2 linked regions of the Caenorhabditis elegans genome follow. The protein of the gene in region 2 purifies or fractionates together with the protein of the main gene of each other region. This does not show direct contact. Each region holds a gene or a part of one and is shown on either strand. Other genes may lie near its edges.

What was found.
Region 1: the proteins of vps-45 (region 2) and syx-7 purify together in Caenorhabditis elegans (affinity purification with western blotting, with the first as the bait; one study listed by BioGRID). This does not show direct contact.

The regions. Positions count from the first base shown.
Region 1 is NC_003279.8:9,001,322-9,006,056, forward strand, and holds syx-7 (t-SNARE coiled-coil homology domain-containing protein), read right to left. Parts: upstream 2,643-4,735; 5' UTR 2,619-2,642; coding exon 2,543-2,618; intron 2,487-2,542; coding exon 2,407-2,486; intron 2,360-2,406; coding exon 2,282-2,359; intron 1,600-2,281; coding exon 1,309-1,599; intron 1,166-1,308; coding exon 1,070-1,165; intron 915-1,069; coding exon 789-914; 3' UTR 590-788; downstream 1-589. Other genes in the region: F36F2.7 (uncharacterized protein), read right to left, coding at 176-259; fcp-1 (RNA polymerase II subunit A C-terminal domain phosphatase), read right to left, coding at 3,681-3,836, 4,105-4,233, 4,278-4,735.
Region 2 is NC_003284.9:969,906-976,948, forward strand, and holds vps-45 (Vacuolar protein sorting-associated protein 45), read right to left. Parts: upstream 4,944-7,043; 5' UTR 4,848-4,943; coding exon 4,755-4,847; intron 4,364-4,754; coding exon 4,165-4,363; intron 4,118-4,164; coding exon 4,053-4,117; intron 3,879-4,052; coding exon 3,703-3,878; intron 3,133-3,702; coding exon 2,637-3,132; intron 2,590-2,636; coding exon 2,500-2,589; intron 1,979-2,499; coding exon 1,886-1,978; intron 1,837-1,885; coding exon 1,730-1,836; intron 1,379-1,729; coding exon 1,256-1,378; intron 1,210-1,255; coding exon 1,060-1,209; intron 871-1,059; coding exon 819-870; 3' UTR 678-818; downstream 1-677. Other genes in the region: C44C1.6 (Neuropeptide-Like Protein), read right to left, coding at 134-236; Protein abhd-3.2, read right to left, coding at 5,835-5,998, 6,262-6,328, 6,377-6,524, 6,813-6,986, 7,037-7,043.

The sequences.
Region 1 (4,735 bases), on a different chromosome or scaffold from region 2:
TTAAATGAAAGCTTCGAAAAGGAATGTGCGCCTTTAAGGAGTACTGTAGCTCTCACATCTCACTGCTTCACTGTTTTCAAATAGCCCTTTCCCGGCCTTTTTTAGCATTCAACTTTCAGAAAACGAAGTATTTATTAATCTTGGCTTTTTATACTTATTATATCATAAAACTCACCATAAACAATAAAATAAGTGTAGCTACCGCTAAGGCGGCTAAAATAATAGCAACGAGCACAAAATCAATAATACTTTCAGCCATTTTAAAGGTCTATGTTCTGCAGTAAGTTGGAGAGTAAAAGAAAAGAGAAGATTTGCGTAAAACTTTTCGTTTTATACAGCAGCGGCGGTAGTGCGAATTCAGAATTTCACAAGTGCGTCAATCGGCCGTTAGGTTTGGCTGAAAAAATGAAATCACTGTTTTTTCCGAAAAGGAGAAAAAACGTGTTTAGAGCCGAACCCGTGTTTGCCACACTGATCGGATTTGCATAAGTTTTTTATTTCATTTTTTCCCGGTCGATCATCATTTCATCGGTCAAATGATCCCGATCATTCTTCTTCTCTGAAAAGAACGTCAAAGCAGTACGTCATATTCAATCAATACATTTTATTGAGAAAAATTCGAAAAAAAGCAACGAGAGGGAAGTTAGTACAATTGAGGAGTTGAACATATTTTAGACTTAGGTTAGACTGTATACAAACACATGACTTATAATAAAAGCTCGATTCTCAGTATGTTTTTCAAATAAATATAGGACAGGAAGCATATTCACAGAACAGAGACACTCCTATTACTTAGCCAGGTAGAGGGTTAATCCAATGATAAAGATAAGAATAACAAAGAAACAGAGAAGGAGAAGCTTCTTTTGACGGGCTTTCTGATTGTAGTAGACGGCTTGTTGCACATTTTGAGCACCCTTAATTTATTTTTTATTAAAATGGAATACCCACTATTTTTCAACTTTGAAAGTACCTAAACGTGTATATTTTTAGATAAATTAAAGTTTTTTTTGCAGATTTTCGTTTTCATCGCTTCATTCTCGAACAATTCTGTGATTCTCCGAATTTTTACCTGTTCAACGTAAATCTGTGCATGCTCCACATTTGCCTCAATCGAATCCACCATATCTCCTTGTTCGTGTACGATATTCGCGAGTTCGGCGAAAATCTGAAAATTAATTAATGTTACTTAATCTTGAAGAGTTATTTTTCGTATGGCACATCCTCTAACCGCTTTTAATGAAATTAATAGAAATTAAAAAATAATAATTTTTAAATTGGTCATTATAACTTCAATTGAATAAAGCCTACCGCATTAACATCTCCAATATCTCGTTCCAATTGTTGTAATGCATTTTGTCGTTCTTTCATATCTTGCAAATTTCCTTGTTGCTGTGCCGTCATCTGCATCTGTCCACCACTTCGTCCATTATTTCCGTACATATCGTATTCGGCAGCATCACGTGCCGCTTGAGCATCCATTTCTGCTGCAACCATTCCAGCTTTTTCAGTTTGTGCAGCTTTTCGTTGAGATGCTTGAAGGCGGTTGAGCACTCCGATATACTCATTTTGAAGACGCTCTCGGACTCCTCGTAAGTTCTTCTGAAATATTTTAATGTTGTTGATAATACTATAATAAAATATTCCTTCAAAGACATCTCTCCCAAACGTGTATTTCCTATTTTCATATGAATATCAATACAAAATGAGTTTGAAATCAATTTTCAGAAAATTTAAATTTCGGATTTAAAAATTGATTTATGAGGTTATTCAAGTAGAGTCGGAAAATTGTAGACAAATGGCGCCACAACTGTAATCAAATACATACAAAAACATGTATTTTAATATAGTTGTGACGTCATTTTCTACACTTTTTAATTTTCCGATACTACTTGAATAGGCCACTTATTATCAAAATATATAAACTGTCATGTGAAACGTGGCTTATTTTTTATTTTGTTTTTTATTTAAGCTCCTCCCATTTTTTTAAAATGAACTAATAAATACAAACTTTAACGAAAGGTCAGGAATGGGAGGAGCTTGAATAAAAAACAAAATAAAAAATAAGCCACTTTACACATGCCAGTTTATATATTTTGATAATAAGATTATTTCAAATTATTTTTTTAAGTTTTTTTTATTTAACAAAAATCGTGTGATTTTATGATTTATTTTTGAATGTTATAAAATTTTAAAACCTTAGGATAATTTTTTTAAAATATAAATTCATTGAAAAATTTTGCCTTCACCAAAGTTTAATATAAAAATTTATACTGAAACTCACATCAGAGTTGCTCATCACAACTAATCTTTTCAGCAGGGCATTGGTTTCCTTCGAGAGTTCCTGAGCATTATGAGCTTTCTGAAATATTTTAATGTAATATTAATTAATAGAGAGTAATAACTAACGCGATTGAAAAGCTCCCGTTCTCTTTGTCCTGATTCACTGCTATCTGATAGATTTGTGATAAAGGATTCCAATTGAATAACTGAAACGAAATTTAGTGTACAACGTGTTTTTTTTAATAAAAAATTTCGTGCAAACCTTGTTGATTTAAATTCTGAATATTGAGTTGAAGCTGACTGGCTGTCTCATTGCCGGCATCTCGATTGAAATCCATTCTGGCTTTGAGATAGGCTTCAAACTGAAAAGATTCTTGACAATGAGTAAATCGATAAAAACCGCTGAAAATACATACAAAAAAGGCGCTTAGTGCGCGTGTGTGCAAAAATGCTCTATAGACAAAAAATGCGAGAAAATATTTCTTTTCAAAAGAGAAAAGTAAATACTTTTTTCATAAACTTTCACTGCAATGGTAAATAAACTAGTCACTAAAAGGAAATGAAATAAGTTTTTTCAATAGCTAATCACTCTACCAATTTTTTTCAAAACTTTTTGCGAATATATAGCTTTTAATAACTTTTAATAATAAGGAAATAGTAAAAGATCGATAAAAATCCAGTTCGGCAAAACGTGTTGTTGAAACGATTGATTGTGTAATATAAGACCACATTGAATTGTATACAAATTGTAAATTATTGATTTTTGTGGAAATGTAAACATTGTACTACATTTGTTACATGAAACTTTTTTTGGTCTCGCGTAACAAATACTATACATTAATCCTATAATTCGAAAAAAATAAATCATACTTCCGAATCAAACGGCATTGCGAAAGCGTCAGCAAGAAAAATAGAAATGAATCTCATTCATTTTCAGAAAAAAATAATAACGATCAACGTGAAACGAGAGAAGAAATGAGACAATGACGCGATTTAGAAAAAAAAATTAATTCGATAAAATGAAAATAGAGGTATTTAAGTAAGCAATCGAAAGATGAATAACTCCATAGTGACAGACTTTTCTTGAATTTACAATCAAAAGGCAAAAGATAAGTGAATAAAAAGCAATCTATATTCCAAACCGTGAACGTTTATATATGACAAAAATGCAGGCTTCTAGTGAAGTTTTGATTGATTTGATGAAAATCACTCTGATCAAGCAGCCGACATTAATTGTCAGATTATTCCCATTTAAATGGAGGTAAATAGTACAGAAAACATTGAGTATCGAATCAAATGGGGAACGGGGGTGATAATTATGAGATGTAAAAGATGGGAAACAACTGAAAGAATAATAGGAAATGAAAACAATAATAGCACATGATGATTTCACAGAAAACTCATTGATCTTTTTCATCTACTGCATCGCTAATCTGACGTTCGATCAATGCAGCCATATCCTCGAACTCATCGTCATCATCAGATTCCGGTACTTCCTCATCTTCATTGTCTTCGTCATCTTCTTCTTCATCTATATTAGCTGGTGCGTGGCCTTTCTGTAAAAGTCTTTTTTTTTCAAAACACTTTTGATCTCCCAAGCAGGAATAATGATTCACGTGTTTCTTTGAATTTTTGTTTAATATCGATAAAATGTCGTATTTTTCGATAAATTCTAGACACTGGAACGATTTGGATTGATATTTTTAAGCTCAAGAAGCCAAAATTTAACTTTTTTCAAAAAATTCACTACTATTAATTTTAGCCACTATAAATTCAAAACTTTCCGTTTTATTTTCAATTTTTTATACTTGCCGCCCTTTTTACCTCATCATCAACATCAAATACTGCATCATCCTCGTTTTCTGGAACAATTCGACCTTTTTTGCGTGAATCTGACAAAAGTGCTTTGTACGACATAGGGGTATCGTCATCCTCATTATCAGAATCTGATTCCTGAAATAAATATTATTGGAATAAATTATTTTCAAGTTTCTTACCTCTTCCTCGTCCTCCATTTCAGGACAATGCTTTCTTTTCTGTCCCCTTGATGTAGAATCTGTCTCGTTTTCCAAAGCATCTCCTGATTGATTCTCAACAGATCCATTCTGCTCAACATCATCCATTTCTTCTTCATTTTTCTCTTGTTTCTCTTCTAAATTTTCATCTCCCTTATCTTCTCCAACATCATTCCCATCATCATCCTCATCCTCATTGTCTCCATCGTCTTCATCATCCGATAGAGCTTCATCTACTTCATTATTCATATCAGCTAACGCGGCTTTCCCAATTGTGTCCATATTTGCCAAATCATTGACATACTTTGATCCAAGTGGACGTCCAACTGGAGGAGTACTTTCTTTTGTTAGTTGAAACAGATTTTCATCTGCTTTAAGCCACTTTTCGACACAAGCATATACCCATTGAACTGTGACCACAAACTTATTGAGACGATTGG
Region 2 (7,043 bases):
TGAACGTTAAAAAATTTCACAAACCGCTTGGCTAAAATTTAAAACACTCAGTTTTCATGGGCTGATTGCAAGCTTGCAATTTGATCAATGCTCAAAGTTGGTTTCAAAAACTGTAGCAGTGCATTAAACGTACCATTAATACTTCCTAGCGAAGTCTCTTCAATGGGAAAAGCCTGCGATTGGATAGCCAAAATTACGATAAAAACTACAGAGATAAGTTTGAAGTAGTAGTCCATTGTTCAAGTTGAAGTCAAGTGATAAATCACACTAAAAAGGTTTTTCGAAGGTGTTTCGCTTTAAGGTTTTGTTTCTCTTGACGAATGATATCAAGAATTTTTGTTGTCTTGGTCAGCCAGTCACGCACCACCTAACACTACAATTCACTGACAGTATAAACGAAACGGCGCCAGTTTGGTTAGCAAATTAGCGCATATATCTGTTATTCACTATTGGCAAAGGACACACACTATTTTTGGGTGTGTTTGGGTTTTCAAAACGACACGGTTTTGAAATGATAAATTCACGTATAGGAAATATTTTTGAAAAAGTGTTTCTTTGTAAATGCCTCTGGTAAATTCGGTTGATCAAAAAGCTTCCAAACATGCTTCAACTTACTCAAAAGCCAAGCGGTAGGCCTCTCCACGGCTTAACAGCGGCTGAGCCAATAGGGAGACCGTTAGTGGTGGCACTGTACACAGTACATATTCATTTTAAAAAAAGCAATTTCATAAAGAAGCTCAATATATCACAAGAAAAGATGACAATTCAATTAAATCAATAAATAGACTCTGCGAGAAGTTTTGAAACTTTTGAGATATTCAGTGAACAGCTCCCGTATTTTTGTCGACGTTGGCAAACTCTTCGAGGAATCTGTAAATTTAACTTATTTTCCATTCACTACAGAACCATAACAAATGCAATAGCCAATTGAAATTAGTATTATAGCATTAAGTATACCCATTAATCGAAAAACGACAGAATTACTGCTTAATGTCTGCCCGCTTAGCCAAAACATTTTTTACCGGGGACGTGGTTTCATTTTAAAGCCTGTATACTCACGATTTTGTATTTAGCATGCTACTCCCAGCTAGAACAACAGCAGGCCCTCCGTATCCTTGCATCCGCTTTTCATTCAAGCTTCTCACATAAGCCGCCTCCTCATATGTGGCTCCACCCACAATAAACACAATAATATTATCCATTCGGTCGCTGAAAATTGAGTAGCTTGAAGCATTATAGTAGATCTAGAACTTACCATTCATTGCTAAGAAGCGGGTAGTTGTCAAGCCTCCCACGCTGGCAAGACTCGATCATGTTCTTGAGATACGGCGAATGCTGGGTGTAAATGTTCTCAACTCCTTTGAGTCCTTTGATGAACCTGAAAATTATAGGTAGAATACCATGTACCTTTTGTAAATCTTGAGTCTTTCTTTAGTGCTACTAATGTTCAGTCAGTTTTGTCAAATTATTAGAGGTGTCAATAAATTTCTGGTCAAATGAATTAATATTTTTTGTTGCAAAACTCATTTGTAATTCTTTTATAAATAAAGCAGTTTTTAATCGCTAAATTTGCTTACTGTAGACAAAAATTAATTCGAAATTCTGATTTAGACAACTAGTAACGGATAAAATTGAACCAAATCAGAAATTGCTGAAGCCGCCAAATCAACCGAAACTAAGCCCAGATTTCAGCCCAAATATTTGATTACGCTGATTCACTGTTGCTCACCTCTTCGTAATGTCAATAGTCGATTCACCACCAAACAAATCGGCAGGTCTCCTTGAAAGTCCACCATATTTGAGCAGCGTCGACACCGTTTGATGGATTTTTGGATGCTGAAAAAGCATGAAATTTTTTTAAACCCAGAATACACCAGTTGCCTACCTGTGGTCTGAGTTGACTGATCAATGAGTTTAATTCGTTGCCGGGTGCGTTTTCGAAACGAAGAGCGTAGAGAAGCACAAGACGGATGATGTCCTGAAAATGGGTGTACTGATCGTGATAACTAAATTCAATTAAAAATATAATTATATACTTCTATGTATCATTTAACAAAATAAATTTTTTAAAAATATAGCACACACTTCAGTGTTGTGTGCCTTGAAAAAAAAAATTTGCGTATGCACTGACCAAACTTATGTTTGCACTGACTAAATGACCAGCTATTTTTCCTAGTTTGTTGAAGCTGTAGTATCTAATTTTAAAGTAGCTAATGAATTTACTTAAAATTATAGGATACAGGAAACAAAATCCTTTCCTGAGCACCACGTTGGCGAAAATATATACCGTATTTCATCTATTAGTCTTGCAGCCTCTATTAGTCTTGCACCCCTACGGACCAATTGAAAATTAGTTTTGCATGCAAGACTAATAAAGGAAATACGGTAATTGGTCATTTGCGATAACAAATCTCAGTATTTTCTCGTGTTTGTTTTGGCATTCAGAATCTAAAAATGTTCATTCCGGATTTTTTTGCGGTGTATGTTACTGTTACTCACCACTTCTCTGGTTTTCGTATTTTTCAGCAGTCCTCGAACAAGATTGATACATTTGCCATGATCCCCATCTGACACAATTGCCTGCTCTACCTGAAACCACTTTCTACGTTTTGACACGTTTTTTTAAACTGTATTACCTCTGAGACTCCTAATAAATTATGCTTCTGAACAAGATTACTAAGTTCGCCTACAAGGCTGACGTGTTTCGACACTGTTCCACTGATCTTCTTAAACTGTGGATAGTCTTCCACAAACTTTTTCATATCCTGAATCGACTCCAAATTCTTGTTAATATGCTTTTTCTCCTGAAACTCGCTGATCAACGTCTTGATATTTTGCCCGATTTCTCCAAAGTTGGCAGTAATATTTCTCGCAAAAAATTCATCGTGAAGCTCGCTGAGCACAATGTTCTGATCAGTACATGTGCATCTGTTATTTGTCAATGTGAGCATTTCATGGATCATCGCTTCATACGTCCATTGGTTGAGCAGAGGAGTCACCGCGTCCTGGGATCTTTCAATAATCAGAAGAGTGGTGTCAGCTCTAGAGTTTTCGAAAAGCCCGTTTTCCCGGCGAATGAATTGTGCTACATCATCGGCCACTTTTTTGCAACTCGGTGAAGACTTTTGGTATCTGAAAAAAAAACATTGTAAAAGTATGCAACAAAGTAGTGACAATTGCATACAGTTTTTCGCATGTAGCAGCTCCCAGATTACAATAAAAACAAAACTACAGCGTGTTATGTCTAACAATTACAAGCATTGCCAAAAATTTCTGATTGCAGCACACTTCTGCTCAAGCGATGTAGTGCCAATTTTCAGCTGCGCGATAGTTATGATATGTATGTATATGTGCAAATTAATTTATCATACAATCGTATTGTTGGGGTAAAGACTTCTTTTTGTTTAGAACAAGGAAATTGGGTACAAGACGAAAAACAAAAGCAGTCACGCAATTGGATACTACTTGTAGACCAAAGACAAAAACAAACGAATGAATTTTTTTTCTCAATCGTATATTTTAGGGATCAGTTTTAGAGAAATTGAATCAATCTTTAGAATTAAAAGCTGCGAACACTCTCTAAATTGAGATACCTTTATAAAAAAGCATGAACATGACTAATAAATAACCAAAATTTCAAAAAAAAGGTCAATGTCCGCAATCCTTTACCAATTTTCAAATTAGAAATTTCAAAACTCTCACCGAACAGCTGGAGCCTTTTTCAACTGCAACAATAGCGCAATAATTCCGCACTTGATCCTTTCAGCGGCTTCTTCTTTCAACGTGAATGATGAGTCGAAGATGTGTGTCAAGTTGAGAGTGAACAAGTCTTTACGAATAGGAACTCCATCTAGAAACACTTCTTGAACCTCACGCACCTGGAATTTGTTGAAAAATACACTATTGACATATCCTATAGCGTATTAGTATTGCTTAAAAGTTTTTTGCATCGTTAAGTTATTGTCGGAAAGCAATAAATCTTTTTCTGATTCTCATAATTTAATCACGCAGCTTGAAAATTAGTTCTGTCCATAATAAAAAGTACTACTTACAGTCTCATTTTTGTCTGCTTCAGCCAGCCGCTTCACATCATATTTGTTGATTGTGTTTGTAAAATCTGAAAAGCATATTCATTGAAAACTAGTATTTTTTCTGTAAACTCACAAAGATAGTACTGGCTGAATCTTGGCTCCTGGAGCTCTTTCACCAGTCGCTCAATATTTTTGGGTGTCGGCCGGACGAATACCACGCATTTCAAGTTTTTGATGTTTTCAGATGAGGTCTTGTTCTCAATTCTATCGAATATATAAACTTCTTTTTGCATCACCTCCGACTGCGCAAATGCGCATGACACTGTTGGAGTCTGGAAAAAAATTTAGCGTTGATTTTATTTGAAAACGTGTGAAAAAACTACTCATCATTTAAAATTGTATGTTTATATGATTTTTCATACTAATCTAAGCATTAACTTTATTAAAAATCTATAGCTGATATAAATTCATAATAAACATTTAGGCTATTGTGAATATACAATACGTTTTGCTCATTTTTGGATTTCCTCTATATTTTAAGTGTTTATTATATTTATTATTTATTATTTTGTTAGATTAAGTAATTCAAAAATAGACATAAATGTTACTGAAAAATTTGCAAAACGTGTTGTTAATTTACGTTTTAGTATAACTTTTTGACACAAGTTTTAATTATTTTTCCTAACCGAATAATTACATTTTTACACTTTCAAATCAACTCACTGTTTCCCCATCCATAAGTAGTAATTTCATCTGCGAGCCGGCAAGTTGGATCATGTCCTGTATCAATTTTCGGCTTGACTGCACGAGATCCATGGTTGATTAGTAGAAAGAGCTAGTGGCCAACGTGTATAAAAACATATGGTAAAAGAAAAGAAATGGAGAACTCTAGGCCGCGGCCGTCTCTGTCACCGCGTCGGGTGAGTGTCCAGTGCCAGCATCGATTTTGAGAGATGGCTAGGCTAGTGGAGACGTAGACGGAGGAAGGCTGTGGAGAGTGAGGAAAGATGGAAAAAGTGGAAAAGTGGAGCAGAAGTAGAGCAGGAGAATTTGCATTCTGTCGGAGAAAATCTGAAGAAAACTGAATCTTCTCCAATTTTTCATTATACTAACTTGGTCCTGAACAAAAGTCTATGAAATATGTATAAGAATTATTATCCGTATGCGTGATGTACTAGGACAACAATTATCATTTACTATATATAAAGCGCGTGTCCTTCTGTCCCTATGTAGTTTGATCTCCGATCAGAGCAACGAAATTTTGGGAAACCTTATGCTAAATGCGCAGCAGACATCGATCGAGGTCCGCGATAGACACCGTATATCTAATGTGTTTTCTCAAAAAAGTCGGGGGCCGCGCCGTAGGTGCGGTCCACGGCTGGTACTAAAATAATTAACTCGTATCAGAGCTTTTCAAAATTGTTCCCTGTACTTATGGTAGGGTTTTACCAAAGCTCCAGCTTAACGCAAACTTCACAGATTTATGACTATTCAATGCAAGGTGGCTGGTTCTAATTTGAAGGACATAACACAATTTTTCGTTCACATGAAACTGCAGCCAAATATTAATTTTACACTATTTTCAATTCGTGTTTGAAGTTTTTATTTGACAAAAAAAGAGTTTCATCTAGTCATATCTGCAACCATTAACTCTTTGCACATTTAAAAAATTAAATTAAAATCACAATAATAATAAAAAACCGGGATGTACTGAAAAACCTGATATTGTTCAAAAAGTGTAATAGTCCTAATAATACAAAAATAATACGTATAATTTGAAAACATTGCACAATCCATCAAAGCTCATGAATAATCATGGAAGATCATATTTCCCCATTGCGAGAGCAACTTTTCCACCATTCCGCGCGCATTTGGATCAGCAGACTCCATGAAAGCAGTATGTCCTCCGTGATTGGTGATAATACCGCAAACGTAGTCGCTCTCCATTATATCTAATGTAGGGATGCCTAAATAGGGGAAATGTATGAATAATTATTAAATTTGGTATTTTGTTTAAAAAATGTAATTAGAAAACTAGCTTTTCAATTACATATTTAATATATATTTCATAAAAATTCCACACGTTTTATAATTTTTTGCAACCCGCAATGTGTCGGTTGCTGTTATTACCGTAGAGCAAACACGTCTAATTATGAACTAGAGAAACGTAGCAAGCACTCATGTTTGTATATGAACATTAGTTTTCAAAGCTGTTCAAACCAAAACTTACATTCCACCGGGCTGAAATAATCATCAACAGAATTCAGTGTTACACATGGAATCTTGATTTTGTCTACCTGGAAATTGATTTTTCAAATTTTTACAAACCAAGTTTCAAATGTTACCTTTGTCGCCAAAGTAGCCTGTCTGTAATAGTCATCGCAACTCTTGAACCCATACATGGGAATCACAAAAGATCGATCAAACCCTCTAACCGTATTGCATCTGCACACTTCGTCAAAATCCACCATATCTTTGAATAGCTCGCGGTACCTGGAATTGTGGGAGCTACTTATGAACTCAGGGGTTTGGTTCATTAATAGCTTAGCAGGAAATACTAAAAATTTGGGCGTAAAGGAATTGCTTCAAATTAACGCGCAAAAACCAATCACTTAATGAGAAGCTTGCCAGCTCTTTGAGCACAGGGCCTGCTCATGTCTCCTCAAATTTTCTCAATGCCAATTTTTTATACCAACTACGTTTGTTGTTTAAAAGTCATCAGATTTAAAATATTAAAAATAAACACCTTACTAATATAAACGAAAAAACATCAAAACTTACGGTCTCACCATATCTACCAAGTTCTTTGCAATAAAGCTGTTGAAAATAAGTTGTGGAATAAAGCATTCAATAGAATCAGAAGCAACAAGGGGATCCCACGGAGAAGAAACAATCATGCCTCCGTCCAGATCTGCATTTTCTCCAGTCATCGCTAGATAGTTCCAGAGAATCATTCTGAAAATAAGCGTGTTGCTGAATCTTTTTAGCTCCTAAACTACACTCACCCTCCCA